Linked DNA regions of Lytechinus pictus. The protein of the gene in region 1 purifies or fractionates together with the protein of each later gene. This does not show direct contact. Links are inferred from orthologs where the notes say so. Each region holds a gene or a part of one and is shown in the gene's direction. Other genes may lie near its edges.

Region 1 (11,166 bases):
CTTTTTGAAATTTACCCGTCACTGCAACTATTATTAAGCGCATTGGCTGTACCCAGTTTATTTTACCCCATTTTGAGTATCGATCACTGATTTATTTATTTATTCATTTATTTATTTATTCATTTATTTATTTATTCATCTATTTTAGTTTATCTATTTAGTCATTTTTTATTTTTTTTATTCATTCAGGCTCATGATGTAAAATAGTTGGAGAATACAAGCGAAATGATAATCAGAATATCAAAAAGAACCCCCAAAAAAGAGAGAATTAGGAATGGAAAAGAAAATGGTGCACTTTGATAAATATTTTGAAATATCATGTAAAAATGACCGGAAATGACCAAGGTTAGATTGTAAAATTCGCGCTTGGCTTACTTGTAGCTTTAAAAAGATTTCGCCCTCTCCGCCATGTCTGGCCCTAAAAATATTGAGACCCACTAAAGGCGTACCCCCCCCCCCGAAAAAAAAAATATTTTGTATCAGTCATCCCCCAAAACCATGAACACAGATCGTCACCCACGGAATTGAGAATTAATGCATGACGAAGGCGAGAAAAGAAGAAGGGAGAATGAAAAAAGAGATAAAAAGAGATTTTGATGATTTTCAATTACATAATCAATGGCATTTGTTGATTGGACCTGAAAAACACACAAATGCGCATGCACACCCGGCGATCTACATTATTTACTTGGACTGAAGACAAAATTAATGAACTCGGTGATATATATAAATATATAAGTTTGCGTTTCAAAAATACGTTTGTGCTGGATCGAAATACATTACTCCTTCGAAAATGTGAAGGCTTAAACTATGATTTTCAAGAGACCAATTAGCACGGAACATCACCGTCTTGCATGTCTCTTCGATCATCGTACAGATGTTAAAATATTCATGACTTACTTCTGTCGGGGGTAGGGACACTAATTGATTGAGGGGACTAAACTATTTTCACTGCAAGGACGCGAGTGCTGTTGTGGGTTTGGGGTCCTGGACCTTGTGGTTCAAATTCTGGAGACTCTTTCACTGAGGCACAACACCTCTAAATAAAACCTACATGGCTATAACAAGAAACGTAGCAAGTACACAGCAGCGTTTTTTTTGTCGAGCGAATTAGGAATCGTCCAGGGCACTAGCGTACCTACAGGGGGGCAGGGGGGGCACTCTGCCCCCCCCCCTGACGAGCCACAACCCATACAAAATACATATCACTGCCCCCCTGACGAGCTTGAAAGACCTTTTATGCCCCCACCCCCTTACGAGCTTGAAGACCTTTATTGCCCCCCTGACGAGCTTGAAGCCCTTTTTTTTTTTTTTTTTTTTTTTTTTTTTTTTTTTTTTTTTTTTTGCTTGTCATTTTTTTTTCTGGTACAATAACCTTTATTTTTGATTGAAGACCTTTTTTTTTTTATTTTTTTTTTTTTTGCTTGTCAATTTTTTGGGCGGTCGATTTTGCCCCCCCTGTGGAAAATCCTAGGTACGCCACTGGTCCAGGGCCATATACCCATGCAGGATCAAAACTTGCTTGAGCAACAATTGCTTAACGGAGATTTATCACTTTTTTTATTTTTCCAGGGTATCATTAGAACCCTGATCATGGCAATGTCAACTCTGTTCCAAACTCCTCTCAAAGCCCAGCTGAATCGACCTCATGGTGTTGTGCTGCACAAGGACAACTATGTCGTGGCGGATACGTATAACAACCGTGTAGTTGCTATCAACCCAAGTAATTCATTTTGGACAGTCCTCTGCTCCCAGAAGAACTTTCTACCTTACGGCATCCTTGCTTTGTCAGAAGTTGATGACAATTTTCTAATAACGGATATGGGTAAGCAGAGCAAAGGATGCGTGTACGAGTTGAAAAATGGGAAGCTAACTCAATGGACCAAAGGTTATGCAAAATTCACGAACCCAACTGGCATTGCAAAGCGAGATGGAAAGGTGTACGTAGCAGATTGGGGGATGAATTGTATTCATGTTTTCGACATGAACGGGAAGTTTGCCCACAAGATAGGAGAAGGTAACTTAGACAGTCCATGGTTCATTGCATTCAACTCAAAGAATCGCCTATATGTTGCAGATTTTAAGGCTATTCGTATCTTTAATCAAGATGGTAAATTTAAAGAGCGCGTAACAATCCCGACTTCAAAACTGTCTTGGCATTACCGAGGCATTGCCATTGACAAGGATGACAACATCTTCATCACTGCTCGCGCCGATACTTCTCGTCTACTTTACACGGATGAGACAGTGACGGTGTTGGATAAAGACCACAAACCGATTGGAGATGTCACTCGAGGATGGTGGACTTTCAACTACTTGAGAGGACTTTGTGTTGATAGGAAGAACAACGCAGTTGTAGTGGTTGATGGCGAATGGCACAGGATTCAATTGATCTCATACAATGTGCTTATGGAAAATTCAGCGTAGGGAGTTTATTGCTATTTCACATCACAGTATTGGTGTCCTTTTATTCCGGATATATATACCCTATTTCCACAAAGCTTACACAATGAGATCACTAGATGCTGTTTCTTATTCGGACATGTATATTATACCGGATATTATACTATTGTATTGTATTACCAGTTATACTATTGTATTGTATTGTATTGTATTACCAGTATTGTATTACCAGTTGTGAGAATTATGTTTTCTGTTCGCAATTGTCTGCTTCCTTCGCCTTTTTATCTTTCTATGTCTTGTATAGCTCTGGCTACCCTTTCTTATTCCTACTCTTTATTCCCCCTGCTCTCTCACACTATCTCTTCAGACTCCACCTTGTTTTCCTGACTACCACACCCTCTCTCTTCTATTAATTTTCTCCCGACTCTCTTTCTCGGCCATTCTTTTGTTTTCCCCTCTCTATTTATTTTTATATTGTAAGTGCACATTCCCTTGATACTTTTTAATATTTAATTATAATACGTATTTGGAATTTGTTACAGGCCACCTATCGTGTAAACATTGTTACTACAATTCAGAATTTCTGCTATCGTAATAATGTTTTGTAATTTAGTAATTTTATATAGTACTCTGTAAATCATTTTGTATCTGCTTGCTTGAGTTACGATGAATAAGTACCATTATTATTATAGGATGCCATTAAAGTAAATTCAAATTTCGTAGAATTCAGACTGAATCTTCTGAAGGTACATTTTCAATCTTTAAAATGAGAAGAGATAAAACGAAATGAAATTAAAGTGTGCTAATCCTGACAAGCTACACCAACATGATAATTTGCTATTTCGACTATTAAAAAAAAAATCATATGAAATATCAAATTCCTTTTAATTAACGCGAGACGGACTACACCTAGCCCTCATACCACCCTTTCACAAGGTAAAAACAATCGTAATTTGAATGATGATTCCAGTGAAAAAAATAAGGCTAATGACGAATATTTAGCACGTGTGAAATCAAACTAGAACCTAATATTAGAATCACGAACGATAATCAAAGTCACGACTGCAATTGCAATCATTATTGCATTGATGATTCAAGATTCGCGTGTGGAAACGCCCTTACTTTATTTGAGCTTTTTGTGTATTGGATTTCGTCTTCGGTGAATTCTTTTGAATTTTGGGGACTTGACGCAATAATAGGTCTGCTGTTGAATCAACCATGTCATGGTGTACTGTATCAGAATTTGGTTAAGATTGAAATTTTTAATGGCCGGCCACAACATCCACGAACATAATTTCGCCGTTTTTACCAATCCTCATTAAAATTGTTTGAATTATAAAGGTTTTCCCGTCCAATTTCATCAGAAATGCATTTAAATTAGTAAAAGGACGTTCAAATTCGAAAGATTTTTGTCCACCCTCTGCACACATGGTTCAATTTTAATTTATACAGCATTCAATTCCATTTTATATCATTCCTTTGAATTTGTAGAAATTCAATTTAGAGAGAGATTCGTTCAAATTAATGGCCCAAAGTTGTCATTGAATTTCGCTACGACGGGCTGATCGATCGTTTAATTTCGCCTTAAATACTATTTTCAATTTCGTTTATCGGGACACATATTTGCACTTTAAACGTCCAAATTCAGATAACATGTTCGTGTTCATTTTTTATTACTTTATACAATATTTGTTCAAACTTTATCTTTTCTTTCTATTTTTTCTGATCTTTTTAGTTAGATTCATTTTATTCCATTATCTTTGATAAAGACGTAATTCATGTAACACTTATAGGATATATGGGTGTAAACGGTTATTCTTCTTTTTTTTACATAATTATGATTTATATTGTGTTGGGAAAGGGATGAGAAACATGGTATTGAACATCCAATTTCAAAGTAATCCCATTTCCATATTTATTCAAAAGACGTAAAAAAAACACCTACGAAAAACACTGTCCATGTCCTATAAGTAATTGCATATTTATGATTTTGAATTCCTAAACGTTCGCAAGGAGGGTACCGGTGATAATTTGAAAACACTTTTTCAGCTATTTCAATTTGATCGTTCTTTATACATGTTTAAATAATAAACAAAATTAAATTTAATTAAGCATTTGACCCTTTAAATGTTGATCTTATACATGTTATATTTAATATAACATGTATAAGATCAACATTTAAAGGGTCAAATGCTTAATTAAATTAAGTCTTTCAAATTAGTTGCAAATTGAATTATTACATCATTAAATTGGTTGATTTTTACAAAATTCGACGGGAAAACCTATATTATATCCCTTATTCAAAACGGAATAAATAAATCAAATCAATCAATCAATGGCACAATATTGATATCCGATAACGAATGTGGCACTTCAACATACCGTCAGGTGAAACCCTGCCCTAAGTATATAAAACGACTAATTATAAATTTGACAAAAATTATTCCTCGCAAATTTTGATTATGTATAGCAGATTGTATACTCAGTGGATTGTTATATCCATTCTGCTTAAAGTATTCTTGTTTCCCCCATTATCATGTACTGTTAAGCTATTAAAGACCCTATTCTCGCACAGCAATTTTGTTGTCCCCTGCTAATATAACGTGATTTGATTTAATAGAGAGAGTGAGTGAGTCAGAGAGAAATGGAAAGAGAGGGGGAGCAAGGAGAGAGAGAGAAAAAAAGGGAGGGGAGAGAGGGAGGGAGAGAGAGGGGGTAGAGATTTTCTTTTATCGCCAACTCGATCTTCACCCGTCCACTCATCACAGAATCTATCTTCTTTTCGTCTATACCGTCCATCAGGAATTTTGTCTAACAACCATTTTGTCCCAATCACTTCGTCTAAACACCAGTTCGACTGTATGACCATGTCGTCTCAAATCTAGCTGGTCTAATGCAGGGGCGACGGAATGGTTTTGAGAGTGGGGGTGGGGGGGGGGGGGGGGGCTTGGGAAGGCTGACCATGCAAAAAATCACTATCAGATGGTAATTTTTACGTTTTTGTACACGATTTTGGAGAAAAAAGGTGGGGTTGAAGCCCCATAGCCCGCGGCCCCTGTAATATCCAATATTTGGAAAGTTTTTAAACAACAATGAGTGCCATTGCAAGGATATTCCATTCTAAATCCCGATTTTTCTTTTTAAAATAGGAAATATGCAAATGAGGTAAACCACGTGATCAGCATCATCAGATTACTGGTCTTGACCAGTTTAATTTCAAACAATGAATTACTTTAGACCAGTTGACTATAACAGAGGAAAATATCTTGCTTTGATCTTAATCATAATTAAAGGAAATAATTATTTTAATGATAATGTTAATACTTGATAATTATGATAATATTAATAATAATTATTACAATATCGATAACAATGATAACAGTAATAAGAATTATGACAACAATGATCATAATAATAATCATTATGATAATTATAAGAAGAATGATGATAAAAATGATAACGATAATAACTTTCTCTGAATTGCAAGATTCATTTTCCATAATTCGTCAAATGATCTGACTTGAAATAAAGTAATTATTTATTGGACCAGTAATACCAGTTTGATGAAAAACAATTTAACTGGTATTACTACTTTGCTTCAACTGGAATGCAATTGTTTGAACTGGTCTCCAGTTGATTTTTACTGGTCCAGTTAAAAATCAACTGGCCCAGTAAAAATATACTGGAAACCAGTAAAATTCTACTGGAAACCAGTAAAAATTCTTAATGGTCTTACTGGTTTTTCCTTCTGGGAATCAATGCGTCAACTCTTGATGTTTTGTGTGTCGTCCTCTCCGATCGTGACCGGTATAGTCTCAAAATTCTGTCGTAAATTCACCGAATCAAAATCCCGGACGTCGACCCTCGGAGTCTTGCTCCCAATTTATGATACAAACCAGGCCTTAGGCTTAGAACATGTGAGTCTCATGTTCTTATAATATTGTTTTCTGTCATTAAGAACACTCACGGAGGTAATTTCATGCACCCAATTTTGAAAGTTGTTTGGTTCTGTTGTCTTCGGCCCCATGCATCCAATTTTGCGTGGGTAAAATCACTAAAAACCAAAGTGGGCGTTGTGAATTGTTTTGTCTGCGGGCTCGACTACTAACTCAGTACGGTAAGTTACTCTGTCTCTGGACTGAAGTCTCTGTATCCATATTTACACACAGGGTGAAATCGGTTTATAGGTGTGAATTTTTTTGATATTTGAACCTTCAAATGCGTATGAACTTAAGTTAAGGGATAAAATTATTAAATATTGGCCAAATCGTGGTTTCGGGAACCACTCGTACTTGTCGATTTGTATACGCGCACTTGTGTGCAAAGACAAAGTGAATGGAGGTGGAAATAGGGAACCGTGCATGTGACTGAATAAAGCACTGCTGTATGAAGTGAACGGTGGTTCCCAATATCACGATAATGCCAAATTATTTCACTTAATGGCAAAAATGAGAGGTTTTTTACGTACCAGACTGATCTCGTGTAGATCCTTCAATCCGTTTGTCAACAAAGACAAAAAAAAAAAGGGTCAAAGTACGGTATGTTGCAAAAAAAATAAATCTCAGAAATAAGGTGTTTTCTTCATGGCATTATTTAGAGCTCATCAACTTCAACTTCAATTAAAACATCCTTCCCAAGACCTTTAGTTTAAATAATCTAACACCTCATTTATCTCAATAGCCCCAGAAATAAGAAAGTTATTGTAGTTTTAAGGTCGTATAAATCGCCTATTCAATTCTTATGTATTCCTTTGTTTTTTAAGCCAAAAGTTGTGATCTTAATTGGGACCAAGGTACACTAAGTAATAGAAAACACCAATGGCAATGCGCATACATTGGCATATGGAAATGCCCAACAACACTCTCAAAAATTACAGAAGCCGCCGAAACAGGGACTTAAAAAACACACTTAGCGTCAGTTGATTTCATTCAAATTTCACCACAATATAGTTAAAATGTTGCTCTATCGGAATGAATGTACCTTTTAAATTGGGATGATACCTGTAAATATGAATAGCAAGACTCAGAGGTTGAAAGCAAGGCCAAAGTTCCAGTAGCACACAGAGTCGCAAGATCACCGAGTGAGAGTTTTTTTCAAGTCTAGACAGCTGCCATAAACATTCAACTACGTAAAAACAATGATGTCATGGGGAATAACCTTTCCATGCACATGCAAACACAATACAAAGCAATGCCCCCACAGTCACCCTGAGATTATAGGCAGCACACTCAATGCTTCATTCAGAATGCACCTAGAGGGCGCTTTTGCAACACACCTACACAAAGTACGGTGACAAAGCAAATACAATAGGTCTGACCTGTGAACCGCTTCGTTATGACGTACATCCGATTAGCGATGCCGTTTTGAAGAACAATTGATGGATAAAAATTATTATTTCATAAATTGTGAAATAATCAAGTTTCAAATTTTATTATAAAACCGATCTGCCCAGATTTGACAGTTGCCTTGAGGGTAATGCGGGTGCGAATGAATGGCTACTGCAACTTGCACATGTAGGTTTTTTTATGTAACTTGCTATGGTGGGTCTCTAGATATGTTTATCGTTTTTCTGGACTTGTTTATTATAGAAAAATTACCACGACATCATATCACAAGGCACTTCAAGGATGAGTGTGAAAGCTTTTGAACTGGTTCCAGCCGTAGAGAGGTTGAAGCTACTTGGGGAGAGAACAAGCAAAACTTCAGTAAGTTCAACTTACTTTTACTTTGATGTAGATGTCATGTTTGTATGTTCCTGAAGATAGCAGAGACTTGAAAGAATAGCAAATATTTTTTGTTTTCTTCGATCGATTAAATATCATTTTCATAATGATTTGAGCCTTCTGAAGGAAAAATTTTGCTTTCTCGTACAAAAAGAACTTCTGCTACACAAAGGACTTTTTGTGTAGCAGTCTATAAAGAATTTGGACTAGATTGCAATGTGATAACCAGGAAAATTATATTTCATATCCTTACTTAAATTGAGCCAGCAGTAGGATATATGAGGAGATATTTTTAGAAAAAAAGGGGAAACAAAGAAGGAGGGTAGAATAGTTGAAGAAGTTAGAGGTAGGAACAAGACAAACTGGAGGGAAATGAGAGAACAAATTTTTTTATTTTGTTTTGTCTTGTCCTCCTTTTGTCTCATCTTTCTTTCCTATAGATTGAATGTATAGAATGCTGTGGAAAGAATCTCTACATTGGGACAAGTGACTGGTAAGATTATACAATTATTTGTGGGTGGGTTCAATAATAATAATGATAATAATAATTATAATACACATGTATATGGGATTTGTAATGCGCCAAATCCACTCGGCAGAGTGCCCAAGGCGCAGGGAAAGAAAGAATGAAAGAAAAACTTACAAATATATTATTGATAGATTCAGGAACAATTAAGAATAGGAAGCATTGAATAGACGTGTCTTAAGGTAATGTTTAAATGTGTCAGTGGAAGTGCATTCACGGATAACCAGGGGAAGATCATTCACGAGAACAGGGACAGCGTGAGCAAAAGCCCAAACCCCCCATGTCTTAACGGATTTGGGAATAACTACATGTAGGTAACCAGAGATGGATGAACGTAGGGACCTGACAGTGTATTTGTTAATTAGATTAATATTGTACTGTGGAGCAGAACCGTTAATTGCATGTAATACAAGGAGAAGAATTTTGAAGATGATGCGATCATGATCGCGAATGGATGTGATAAGAACACTTGTGTTACTCCTGACACTTCCTATCATTACCCTGGTGTAGCATACATCGTGGTAGGACATGTGTCGATCTCTCCTTTTACATCATTTTGCCAACTCCAGTTTGTTATGCATACTATGAAAAAAAGGAGTGCAGAATGCTGAATATCAAAAGCACCCAGGTGCATCACAGTTTATTTCAAGTCAATATTAAAAAAGAGATCTTGTCTGTCTAGTGAGGATTAGGATTTATTTTGTTTTTCATTCAGTTTTGGTATATCCAGTTTGCTTTTTGGGAAATCTTACAACAAACACAATGGGCTCATGCATGTATATCATTACTCATGTTTAATTGAATTTATACAAGAGATGGGACTCGGTTTGATCTTGTATTCATATATACAATTGGACAGTGGAAAGGTTATTTGATGTTAAACAAAGAGAAGGAGAGGAAGACAATATGTGAAAGACATCATTTAATTCCATAGGTCCGTATTCTGAAGTCGGGTGTAACTTAAACTCGGGTTTAAAGTTGTGGTTTAAGTATGGATAGCCAATTGTTACATAAATCACTAACAGTAGAGATATAATATTTCACCTCATTTGGCTCTCAAATCATTCATAATTGTGTAGAAAGTATGAATAGATGATTGTCTTCACCATCGATGAATCAGGAAAGAGCACAGTAAACATAAGAAACATACAACTTAAGAAAAATTTTGACACTTTTGGCTTCCCATAATTTTAGCACAGAGTTTAATGGTCTAAGTTAAACCTGACTTCAGAATAAGGGCCATAGTGGCTAGTAATAACAACTACAAACTACAATTTGCCAAAGACAGATGGAGATGGAAATGATTGCCATCATAATGATTATTGTGGTAACAAAGCAACAAATGCAGGGAAAAATATCCTGTCTGACAGTGGCGTACCGTGGGTCACGGCATTGGGGGGGCACCAGAAATTTTTTTAGTCACTTAGTGAGCGCGCGAAGCGCGCTCAGTTGCCAGATAAACTGACCTAATATAGACATTTTAAGGACAGTGCCATTAAACGGATATGTATTTCACTGACCGCATAATGCGAGCGCGAGCTGAATTTGTTTTTATATTCAGACCTAAAAAGGGACATTATAAGCAAATTTTTGTAATCATGATACATATCTATCTCACTAAACAAACAATGCGAGCGCGAAGCGCGAGCTGAAATTTTTGTATACATTGACCCCAAACAGGGACATTTTGAGGACTACATTTCAGGAATCCATTAAGAGCATACATATCTCACCATAGTCATCTAATGCGAGTGCCAAGCGCTTGCTGATTTTGTTACAATTATATACATCTAAACAGATGAAACACTTTTAGTCATTGTAATCATGATTATCACACGCATCACACTAATAAAATATAGGAAATTCAGATCTGAAGTGGACATTTTAAGGCTTGTTTGTAGGAATTCACAAAGACCATGCGTATTTTATTAACCAAATGGTGCGAGCGCTAAGCGCGAGCTGAAATTCTTGTATATATTGACCACAAACAGGAATATTTTAAGGACTCTTTTTAAAGGAATCCATTAAGAGTACACAAATCTCACCATAGTCATCTAATGCGAGTGCCAAGCGCATGCTGATTTTTTTAGAATTACATATAAATGGCACATGAAGCACTTTTTGCAGTCATTGTAATCATAATTATCATACGCATTTTACTAATCAATTAATGCGAGCGCGAGCTGAAAAATATAGGAAATTCAGACCTGAAGAGGACATTTTAAGGCTTGTTTGTAGGAATTAATGAAGACCATGCGTATTTCACTAACCAAATGATGCAAGTGCGAAGCGCAAGCTGAAAATTTTTGATATTCAGATCAGAAAAGGGGACATTTTAAGGACTGATTTTAGGAATTCATGAAGAGCACACATATCTCACCAATCCACTAATGCGAACATAAGCACGGGCAGGAAATGTTTTATATTAAGACCTCAATATGGGGCAATCACTTTAAGTAGTCATGAAAAAGAAGCATAATATGCCATATGACATATTATGTCACTACATAAAAC
Region 2 (10,376 bases), on another chromosome or scaffold:
TAATCTGTAATAGCTCCATGGTTAAAGCATGGACCTATTACGAATAGGTCCATGGTTAAAGTGACTATCAGCTCAGCCCAGGGCCCCGGAATCGATCGAGCCTGCATGAACTTCCTGAACTGGCTCAAGGCAAGAGTCAAGCCAAGGCAAGAGCCATGACAAGACTCAATCGAGACTTGAATTGGAAAATAGATGAAGATTTACCTTTATGTCCCGTCGGTTGTATGGTAGAGCAAGCCACGGCATCTCACTGTAATACTCATTAAATTGGTCTTCAGTTTCATCTGAACTGATGAAAACTATTTCGAACGAACTTTCCCTTTTCTTGAAGTTATTGTAAAAAGAGATTAGCTTCGGAGTAAATGAGCGGCAAGGCGCACACCAATGCCCCGAGAAGTACAGGCCAACAAATTTCGCGTTCCCGGTGATAGATTCAGTCGCAATTTCTTCATGATCCTTGTTCTTTAGTTTGTCTCCAAGTAGTTCAACAACAGGGATCCTCGCACTTCCAGAACAGGACATATTGGAAAGCATAAGATTTCATTTAATGATGAGTGATGTGTATTAATGTATTTGTATTGTATATTCCAGCCGTCGTAAAAATAGAGTTCTAAGCCCAAGGCCCGTCTATAGCTGTGCAATGTATTAATTGTAAATGTTTATCGAAAATGTGTATGGGCGCCGGGCGGGCGCGCGCTTTTGCCTGACGAAAGATGAAACCTCTTCCACAACTTCCGTAGTACAAAGTCAGGTGTACCGTAACGTAGGTAAGGCCGCTGTCCATACTCCCAAATTGGCCAAAATCAGCATTGCAAAAAATGGAGTTCCACAATCCTACCAATCCTACACTGTTAAAAATAAAACTGTAAAAAAAAAACAGTAATTATTACTGGCAGCTGGGACTCACAAACAGTATGAACTGTTAAATTACGATGGGCTGTAAATTTTTTTTTAAATATGGAAAAAATGGATAACTGTAAAAAAAAAAAAAAAAAAGCAACACAATTTTAACATTCATTTAGTAACATGAAAATCTCCGTTAATTACAAATACGAACACTATTTATACGATAGATGCACTGCAATCAACGTAAAAACACAATAGTTCATTTGTATTTTTACAAAGATTATATTTTACTTTGTCTTTTTATATTTAACTTATAATTCTGATTGATTGATTATTTGATAACAAATTCATTTCATTTCAAAATTTCAATTAAGTTACAAAGTAAAGCTAATTATGATATAACGTATAATAAAAATGAAAAAGAAACCTGAAAAGCAAAGTTTGTTATTGAAGGTTTCCTTCAATAAATAAGACATATTAATGCAAAATACAAAGTTCAAAATATAATATACAAAATCATCATATCGTACTAGTTCAAAATAAAATATATATATATAATATACAAATCATCATATCTTTCTTGTAGAAATTAAATGTAAATCCTTGTTGAATATATTCTTTATCATATTCTCCCAAGTAAAAGATAAAGAATGCTGGATAAGGCATGAAAAAAATGTTATACAAAACAAGAACGGACAAACTTGAAAAAAGTCAAGAAACGAGTAAAAGAAAACAAACAAAAAACAAATCTCCACAGGTATAGATCAAATTAAAAGAGCCAGAGACGGAAAAGAAGCGAAATGAAGGGAGGAGGGGGGGGGGGGGGGATACGGAAGAATAGAAGATATCCTCAAGATATCCTAAGTAGAATGAATAATTTGAGTGTACGGTTATTAGTGCATGAGGTTATATTCTAATGCTCTATTGAAGCTATATTGTATGCTTATTTCGTAAAGCTAGTGAAAGTGAGTTCCAAAGTTTGATGCCAGCAGAAGATAATTATGAACAGTTTGTTTGTTAATAATGTCCTTGTTCTAGGTAAATGGAAAAGTCCAGCAGATCTTGTATAGGTTAGGGATGGATATTGATATTCCTTGTAAACATAGAATAAATACATCTGGTATAGTTCATCTCTACTAAGGTTGTATATCCAAGATTATAATGGTAAAGATCATGTATCTTATATTAAGAATACCATGAGTTTTGAAAAGAACATTCGTGTGTGCCCGATAATGAGAATGGCAAATAACGCGCAAAGCTTTTTCTGGAGTAGTAAAAGTCTATATATTCAAATGAAAATCAACACAAACACCCCATGCAATAATACAAATTCTATGTTACACAATATTATCTGCGTAAATACGTTCGGTTTGTTAAATCATTGTGTCGTCTGTTTTTAAAAGGTAAACATCCTGTAAATTACGATTTTTCTTTGTGAAATTTTAGTATTTTTAACAGTGTACAGCAGGGGCGGATCAAGGATTTTCCAAAATGGGGGGGGGGGGGCACATTTTTCCGAGGAAAAATTTGACAAGCAAAAAAAAGGGGGGGGGGTTAAAAAAAAGTGATATTTAAAAAAAGTATTCACTTTCAAAGGGGGGGGGCACACTTCTGTTTTAATGGCATCAGTTTTACATTACAAAACTTAGTTTTGCTTCTCAAAAGGGGGGCACGGGCCGGCTGTGCCCCCCCCCCCTGGATCCGCCAGTGGTGTACAGTATCATACACAATAAATTAAATTCAAGGGCACGTGCTTGAATTTGTTCATTGGAAATGAATGTGCATTTTTCGCACCAATCAGCATCGCCAAGATTAAATCGGTGGTTTCAATTGCAGTACTGAATTTAGTTTCCTTAGAACATTATTACAACTTTTGCGACAACATGCAAAAGTCTAGATTTTAACCTTGGCCCACTGAACAGATATATATTTTGACACTCAGTCCAGGGGCTTTCTAGACCTTTCATAAACATGCTAATGTCAACGTACACTGTGATGTTGCTGGCGCAATATAAGTTTTGTGATGACTGTCATACCAGGTCAAAGTATATAGGCCTATATTTACATCCCATTGGCTCAACAATGTGTTTTTTCCAATTGCCAACATTTCGCGACTGACGAAATTGTTGACTTTGTACTGATGTTGGCCCAACAATACCTTTGCGACATCGTTGGTCCAATATGTTGACACTTTGCCAACCTTTCCCTATTGTCAACATTGTGATGTTGGACGGATATCAATTTTGCGATATGGGCGATATCATAATTACGTAAAAATAAAAAAGGAGATTGTTAGCATGTTTTTTTTCTTGCAATGTAACAAGGGCAATGTTTTGGGGAAAAAAGTAAAAAATACTTCTTGCTAAATTTTCGTTTGCAGATTATATAGGCCTATTTTCTAGTATTGATATCAGTTGAAAAAAAGAAAAAGGATATAGATATTATTTTGAATTATTATTTGCTTTTTATAAAAGTTTTGTTGGAAATGAATCCAAGTGAAAAATAACAATTAAAAGACTAATTAACATTTTTTTTTCACCTGTTATGTTGAAAACTTGCTATACGTCCAGTGTATCCCCGCGGCAGATTTCACCGGGAAAACGAGAAAAGGGAGCGAGAAAGAAAGGGAAAAGGAAAGGGGAAGGAACGGAGGAAAAGGAAAAGGGAAAAGGTGAATAGAAAAAAAACATTAAAAATGGAAAACGGAAGGGAAGCGGGAAAAGGAACGAAAGAAAAACATGTGAGAAAAAACAAATCATTCCGAAATAGGCCTATTATACATTAGCATGATTACTTAGAACGGAAAATAAATTAAAAGATGATCCAAATAGCAAACAAAGGCGGGAAATTAATTTATACCCGATGGAATGAGCCAAGAGCTAATTTGGATAACGAAAAAACTCAAGGGACAAGAAAAAAAAAAAAGAACGTAATAACACGACCGGGCTGCCGAGGATTAAAAATAATTAGTAGCAGGGGGTAGAGGAAGGAAGGGATGGACTACAATTAAACTTGCTAAATTTTATGCAATAATGGTCGCAATCAGGACAAAAATGTCCCTATAGCCAAATGCTTGAAATCCTCATGTTATTATTTCGTTATAATGCCCTATACCTATATAGGCAAGCTTTACGCTGGCAAGAGTTACCGTCAAAAAGTCTTTCAAGTGTTTACTTTGGCTAAATGTCCAAAGCTACCGGGGGCTCTGCCCCATATACCCCAAGCAGTATATAGGGGCTCTTCATCTGTAACCTTCAAAGGGCTCCGGAACGACCCTGTATGGCCTCCTTCCTACATTAAACTTTTACTGGCGTGCAGGGGGGATCTTGCTTCCACACAGAAGGGGGAATAAAAAAAAATAGAAGGCAACGCAATGAAATGAATGGAAAACAATGAAATATGTTATTTGCTGAATTTAATGTAAAAATCTATCAAATAATTCATTAGAATTTCATTTCAAAAGGCCATTTTCGGGCTCGCTTCGCTCGATTTTCCCACATTACTATCTTGTGACCCCTCAAAATATTTGTCTCATTGCGCAACTGCGTTGAATTTTGTGTAAAAGATATATACTGTATGTATCTGCGATTCGATTAAAATTCTGTAAGGTTTAAAATGGCTTTGATATCAAGAGGTTCCGGTGGCTCTGCATGCGCTTCTCCCACTCGCATAGCACAGGCGGTTTGGCCATGGCCCCCAAAAGTTCTACAACCCGAACAAAAACAAAAAAAACAAAAAAAAGAAAAGGAGGAAAGAAAAGCAAAGGAAAAGTGCAAGATATGATGTTGGAGCCTATTTACTGAATATAATGTCAGAAATGTCTCAAAGTTATATTCTCATGAAAATGTTTATTTTTTTCTCGCTGGCTTCGCTCGCTCTGGACTTGTATTACGCAGCTTTTTGGCTCATGCGCCATAATACTGCAGTGCACCTCTTTTTTTGTTTTTATACTCTTCACGCTATACCGCCGCCCGCATGTATAGATCTTCGCGCACAATCATTAAAAAAAAAAGAATCCTGTTCACAGTGGCGTATCCAGACAAAAAAATTAACAAGGAAAGAAAAGGAAAGAGAGAAGGGTGAAAAATGATATCATTTTCTGAATATTATGTCAAAATCTGTCACAAAATGTGACTTTCTGCTCGCTCGCAACTTTGTTTTTTGAATAAATTCTGCCGGGTACGCCATGTCTGGTCCTCTCAAATATTTTGCCTCGTTACAACACTGCCTGTTCATATCATGATTATGACCGGCAAATTTTTGGCTCTTGCCCCACCCCCCCCCCCCCCGGCCATCGACCCCTGTTACGCCCCTGATCAATATAGAAAACCGTGTATCTCTCTCCAGAAATGGAGGCAAATATTAAAGATTGATGCACATGTACTACTTTGAAATGAAATGAATAAAGGAGACCAGTTATGGTTGTTTTACAAACAAAAAAATAGGTAAATATATTTACTGTAGTGGCCCAACGCTGAAAATTTCATCAAAATTGAGAAAGTTATGACATTTTAAAGTTTCGCTTAATTTCACAAAACAGTCATAAAATGCAGATCCTGGTCGGTATGCGAATGAGGACACTGATGACGTCATCCACTCATATTTCTTTTGTATCTTATTATATGAAATTTTCTCCTAATTGTCAAGTGAAACACGATTAATTCCCCCATAAACATGTGCAATTCATTATCATTGTTTAACGCTATACATGTGTGGTTCAGTCAAGTTGGTCCCTTATTGTCATACTTATCTGTAAAAAATGAAATATTGTATAATTCAAACAAGTACAATAAAACAAAAGAAATAGTGAGTGAGGGTCTCATTTGCATATCACTGTGTTGTGCATTTCAGTGTTTTGTGAAAAATAACAGAGCCAAACTGAAATGTCAGTCATTTGCGATTTTGATGAAATTTAAGCGTTATGCTAGTTTGATTTTTCTATATTTATTCAAATCAACATTTTCTGGGGTGGACTTGACCTTTCACTATATGAAGATGAAAGAGGCACTCGAGTGAAAAAGTTAGTAAGCCGGGTGCACTGTTTTTCTAATAGGGGCATTTTTTAGTGCTTCAGCCGCCCGTGGATTAAAACTAATTTGTAACAGCTAGGGGTATCAATAAATTTTAATTCTTCAGTATGGACTTGCATGCCGAGATATCAGTTGGAAAATTTTCAAGGAATATTTTTTTGATATTGTAAAATAATTCAAATTTTATCGGTCATTTAACAATGGTTGAATTTTAAAGATATTTCTAATATTTCCATTTTCTTTTTTATTCTCTTTTAACCTTGTTTCTTTAATTTCTCCTAATCTCTTCCCTTTCCTCCGTATATTTTTATTTTTGTTTTGTAGGCCGACGGGAGTGGGGACGTGCCTAGTTATGCAATTGCCTGCGCGCTGCGTATGAAATCAACCACTCTCTTGAACTAAATCTGTTTGGCCTTTTTTAGCTACGTACATGTGGTCTCCGATCCGCCCGCCCGCCGCGCCGCCGCGCCCCGGTAGCTAGAGCTAGCTCGGCCTCCGCGGTCTTTCTTGCACAAATTTATATGCAGCAACGGTTCATTTTGTATGCATATATCCACGAAGAAAAAAAAATGGCCACACATCTTGTCAGTGGACGTGTGAATTTAGCCTTTTGGAGAGAAGTTGCCAGAAGAGAACTCTTAGATTGTTTGGACAAATGCATAGGGAGTAAGGTGAGTTTGATTGATGTACTGCTTAACTTAGATTAGAATTCGTTTACAACAAATTTACAAATTTACAAATTTAACGAGTAGGCCTAGGCCTAGGTCTAACTTTAATTACGTTCCACGACTCTGACGAGCCTGTTGTGTGACTGGGGCATATGATTACGGGAAAGGGGGGGGGGGGGGGGGTGGACTTGAGGGGGGTGGACTTGGGTGTGTCAGACTCTGTTGTAATTGTATTGAACATGTTGAACTGGATATCGGTTCAGCTCAGCTATACATTATTAGGCCTGGGGGGTTAACAAGACAAAAAAAAAACGACGGGCCGGCTCTTCGATTTTTGTCTTTATTTCATAAAAATATAGGCCTATATTATAGAACTGGACCAAAATGAAGATTAATATTCAGTTTTGGCCTTAAATACACACACAAAAAAAAACTTTTTAAAGGGGGGAAAAAGTGACTTACTTCAGTCTATAATTTGTGAGTGGAGCCAACAGAGTTCAGCAGAACAACCAATAAAACTGAGACCAAAGCTTTTGGTCTAAGTTAGGGGTGATTGTAAATTTACACCTTTTTTGTTTTATGCAGGCCAGTTACGTTGCCAGTCGTTGGTATCTAAATCTAATGTTTTACAGGAATAACGTCGTTTCTGGGGATTTATTAAAACAATTTTGTAACAAAAATGTGACATTTATGTAAAAAAAAAAACAAGTCCTCAAAACAAAAGAATTGTGATATTTAATATTTAATAAAAGAAATAAATAAGCATGATACTGATTATTTTTTTTAATTGGTCCTAAAAAATTATTAAATTGAATATTCAAATCAATTCAATTCAAATTTGACAAAATATTCATCAAATGAAAGTTACAATCAAAATTTCACTTGGGATTTTTTTTTATTGTTAGCACAACAGGTCACTAGTCATACATAACTTTTGTTTATGAACCATATTACCGTATTCTTCTGTCGATCATCATTTTACATGCAGGCAGTGGTCTGGGATGATTTTCTTACGGGACCTATTGGGCTCATCGCTGAATATTCCTTGTTAAAGGTAGGTTGTCTACAGCTGTATAATGATCGATGAAGGTGTTATTGCTCTTGCACTACAACATTAGTTGTGGGAGGTCAAGCTGACAAGAAGACAGTCTTGATGAAGAAGAAATAGAATAAAATAAAAAAAGAGGTATTTGAAAATAATGTTCTATCTCTGAATACCGTTAACACTGGTATCTATGCAGTGCCATTGTACCTTCCATCTAACATTGAAGACGAGTTCACTTGGACACACAAAAATACCATTAAAAAAATAACTTTCTTCCTTTGTCATTGTATGGTAGTAGGGTAGCATATAGGCCATAGCTTGTACATTGAATAAAGTTTGAGCTGTTCAGAAAGTCTCATTTGTCTAGTTTATAGATACTATGTCAAAGAAATTATAACAAATTTACATCATTTTTGTCATGTAAGTAGTGCCAAATTCATATCTCTTCATTTAGGAACATGAAGTTGACCGTATGTTCCCCCTTCGACATGGTCATCTGCCTTTGAAGAGTTCGTCCAGTGGTGCAGGTGGTACTATCCAGAATGTTATATTCATTGTGCGCCCTCGATTGGACCTGATGACAATTGTTGCAGACAATATCCGCAAGGCGGAGGAAACCCCTGGACGCTTCCGCAAAGAGTTCCACATTTTCTTTGTGCCAAGGAAGAGTCTTCTCTGTGAGAGAAAGTTGACGGTAAGTTCCCTAACATTGAAACAGCTTAAAACTCAGGGATTTTATGGTCATGGAGAGACCTGTATCGGCCGCACAGAAACGCTGTTAGCGTAACATTGCACTAAGAAAGGGACCTGTTACAACTGGTAATTTCGTCGCGATGGCTAATGTCAAAGTAATGCATTATTTACATCTGGGATCAATGCTTGACATCACAATCTGTATATCATTATTCATTAACAAATCAGCTACTAACAACATGGGTAGAATGACCGCACAGTCAGAAGGCACATAAAGCACTGTTAAGGCACCGTTAGGCACAAGTGTTGTTAGGGGATTTGAGTTAGGCAAAATCTATAATTTGTGCGTAGCGATCTAGATTTAACTTAAGATTTAGTTATGATTATTTGCACATCCTACGAGTTTAAAATCTTGTCTAGGAAAGGGTAAAGGAATGTAATTAATTGTTATATAGGCCTAAAAAATTTCCTTATTATTACATTTTAAACATGAAATGACAGCAAGTATATATTTACTAATTTAATTTTTAAAATATTGAAAAGGATTTAAAAGATCAAGAAAATTAGCCTATCATGATATTACGATGGAGATTCTGTACAAAAAAAAATGCAATCCCACTTATCATCAGTTTATTTGTTTGAAAATGCTCTTCACAGACTTCACTTATCATGCTCATGATAGAGTATTTGCCAGTGAGGATTATCATATGATAAATTTCATCAGCTATTGTTCTTCTTTCTAATGTAGGGTCTATTCTTAAAAATGTCTTCAATAAAAATATCTTGGAAGAAAAAAATATTGATGAAAAGGATCATATCTTGGCACTAATCAACATCTCCCGCTGTATACCCATACTTATAGGGGTACTCCAGGCTGAAGAAAATAATACGGTTTGAACAGTAAAGTGAGACAAATAAAACACTGACAAATTAATAAAAATTGGAAATGAATATAACAAATTATGGTATATTAAAATTTTGCATGAGGCCCTATTTCGGTGAAATTTGTATTCATGTCTTCAGGAATATGCAATGAGAGTCTGTTGTATCATACAAAATTAGATTTATTTAAATTTTGTCCACCCAGAATATTGCTTCAAAGATCGGGCGACATACACACATTTGAGACAATTACGAGTTCATTTCAATAAAATCAGAAAAAGGGGAAAGAGCTAGAGGATATGGCATCATCGTTCCATTTATTGCATATTCATGGCCACATGCTGCTCAGTAATATCATTTGCAAAATACAGTATTAAATTTTTAATATTAAAGAATTTTGTTATTTTTTAAATCAGATTTTGATGAAATTCGGTCGAGGTCTATTTTAAATTACTTGGTATAAGAAGAAAGGGAGACAAGTTTTAAAGGGAGAAATTATTCACTAACATCGTCACTATTGGTGCCCTTGGCACTGTTAGTGATTTGTATTAACATTAGCGCCACTGTTAGCTTCTGCTGGGCCTTTTATTGTTAGATTATTAGGAATTCGGCTAAGCTTCTGTGAGTTTATCGATATCGGTAGGTCTACTTTTAGTGCTCTGTTAGTGAAAACAATGCATCTAGGCGGTGGTCGCCCGTGAAAGATGTGACTGGCCCTACTGTTAGTGTTTTTTTACGCTAACAATGCTTCTGTGCAGCCGCCCCTGGGTGTTTGTTAAAGCCAAATTTTCATAAAGTTTGGTATGCATCACCTTACTAATGACTAGAATGTGGCAAACCAATATTTTTTTATCACTAAAGACAGATTGTACAGATGCAACATCGGGTAAAATATTGATGTGCATTTTGGTGCGTCTAAAACCAGTTGCTATGAGAGAACTAAGACAGTGTTATGAAACTGACCTGGACTGAAATGTAAATTCTTTAGAATTAAACTACTTATTCTACAAACTTCTTTTATTAGTAAAGGTGGTATGTATGTAGGGGATCACTGTTTTGCCAGCCATAGGCTTATATTGTAATTCCCCATCCACATATATGTGCTTTACATTTTATAAAATTGATAATTGAATTGAATTTAAATTGAATGATAATATATCCATTTATATAGCGCAATTCTACTATGTGCATATATTCTCATGCATTTGACAC

What was found. The genes of interacting proteins can lie anywhere in the genome.
Region 2: the proteins of transforming growth factor-beta receptor-associated protein 1-like (region 1) and vacuolar protein sorting-associated protein 33A-like purify together in Homo sapiens (co-immunoprecipitation; 5 studies listed by BioGRID and IntAct, with this or other methods). This does not show direct contact. The link is inferred for Lytechinus pictus from reciprocal best matches to the Homo sapiens genes TGFBRAP1 and VPS33A.

The regions. Positions count from the first base shown.
Region 1 is NC_087250.1:18,851,629-18,862,794, forward strand, and holds the start of transforming growth factor-beta receptor-associated protein 1-like, read left to right. Parts: upstream 1-6,162; 5' UTR 6,163-6,176; coding exon 6,177-6,320; exon of another isoform or gene 6,321-6,520; intron 6,521-7,991; coding exon 7,992-8,108; intron 8,109-8,566; coding exon 8,567-8,619; intron 8,620-11,166. UniProt on the Homo sapiens protein: Plays a role in the TGF-beta/activin signaling pathway. It associates with inactive heteromeric TGF-beta and activin receptor complexes, mainly through the type II receptor, and is released upon activation of signaling.
Region 2 is NC_087246.1:16,838,312-16,848,687, reverse strand, and holds the start of vacuolar protein sorting-associated protein 33A-like, read left to right. Parts: upstream 1-6,186; 5' UTR 6,187-6,397; coding exon 6,398-6,547; intron 6,548-7,532; coding exon 7,533-7,598; intron 7,599-8,043; coding exon 8,044-8,283; intron 8,284-10,376.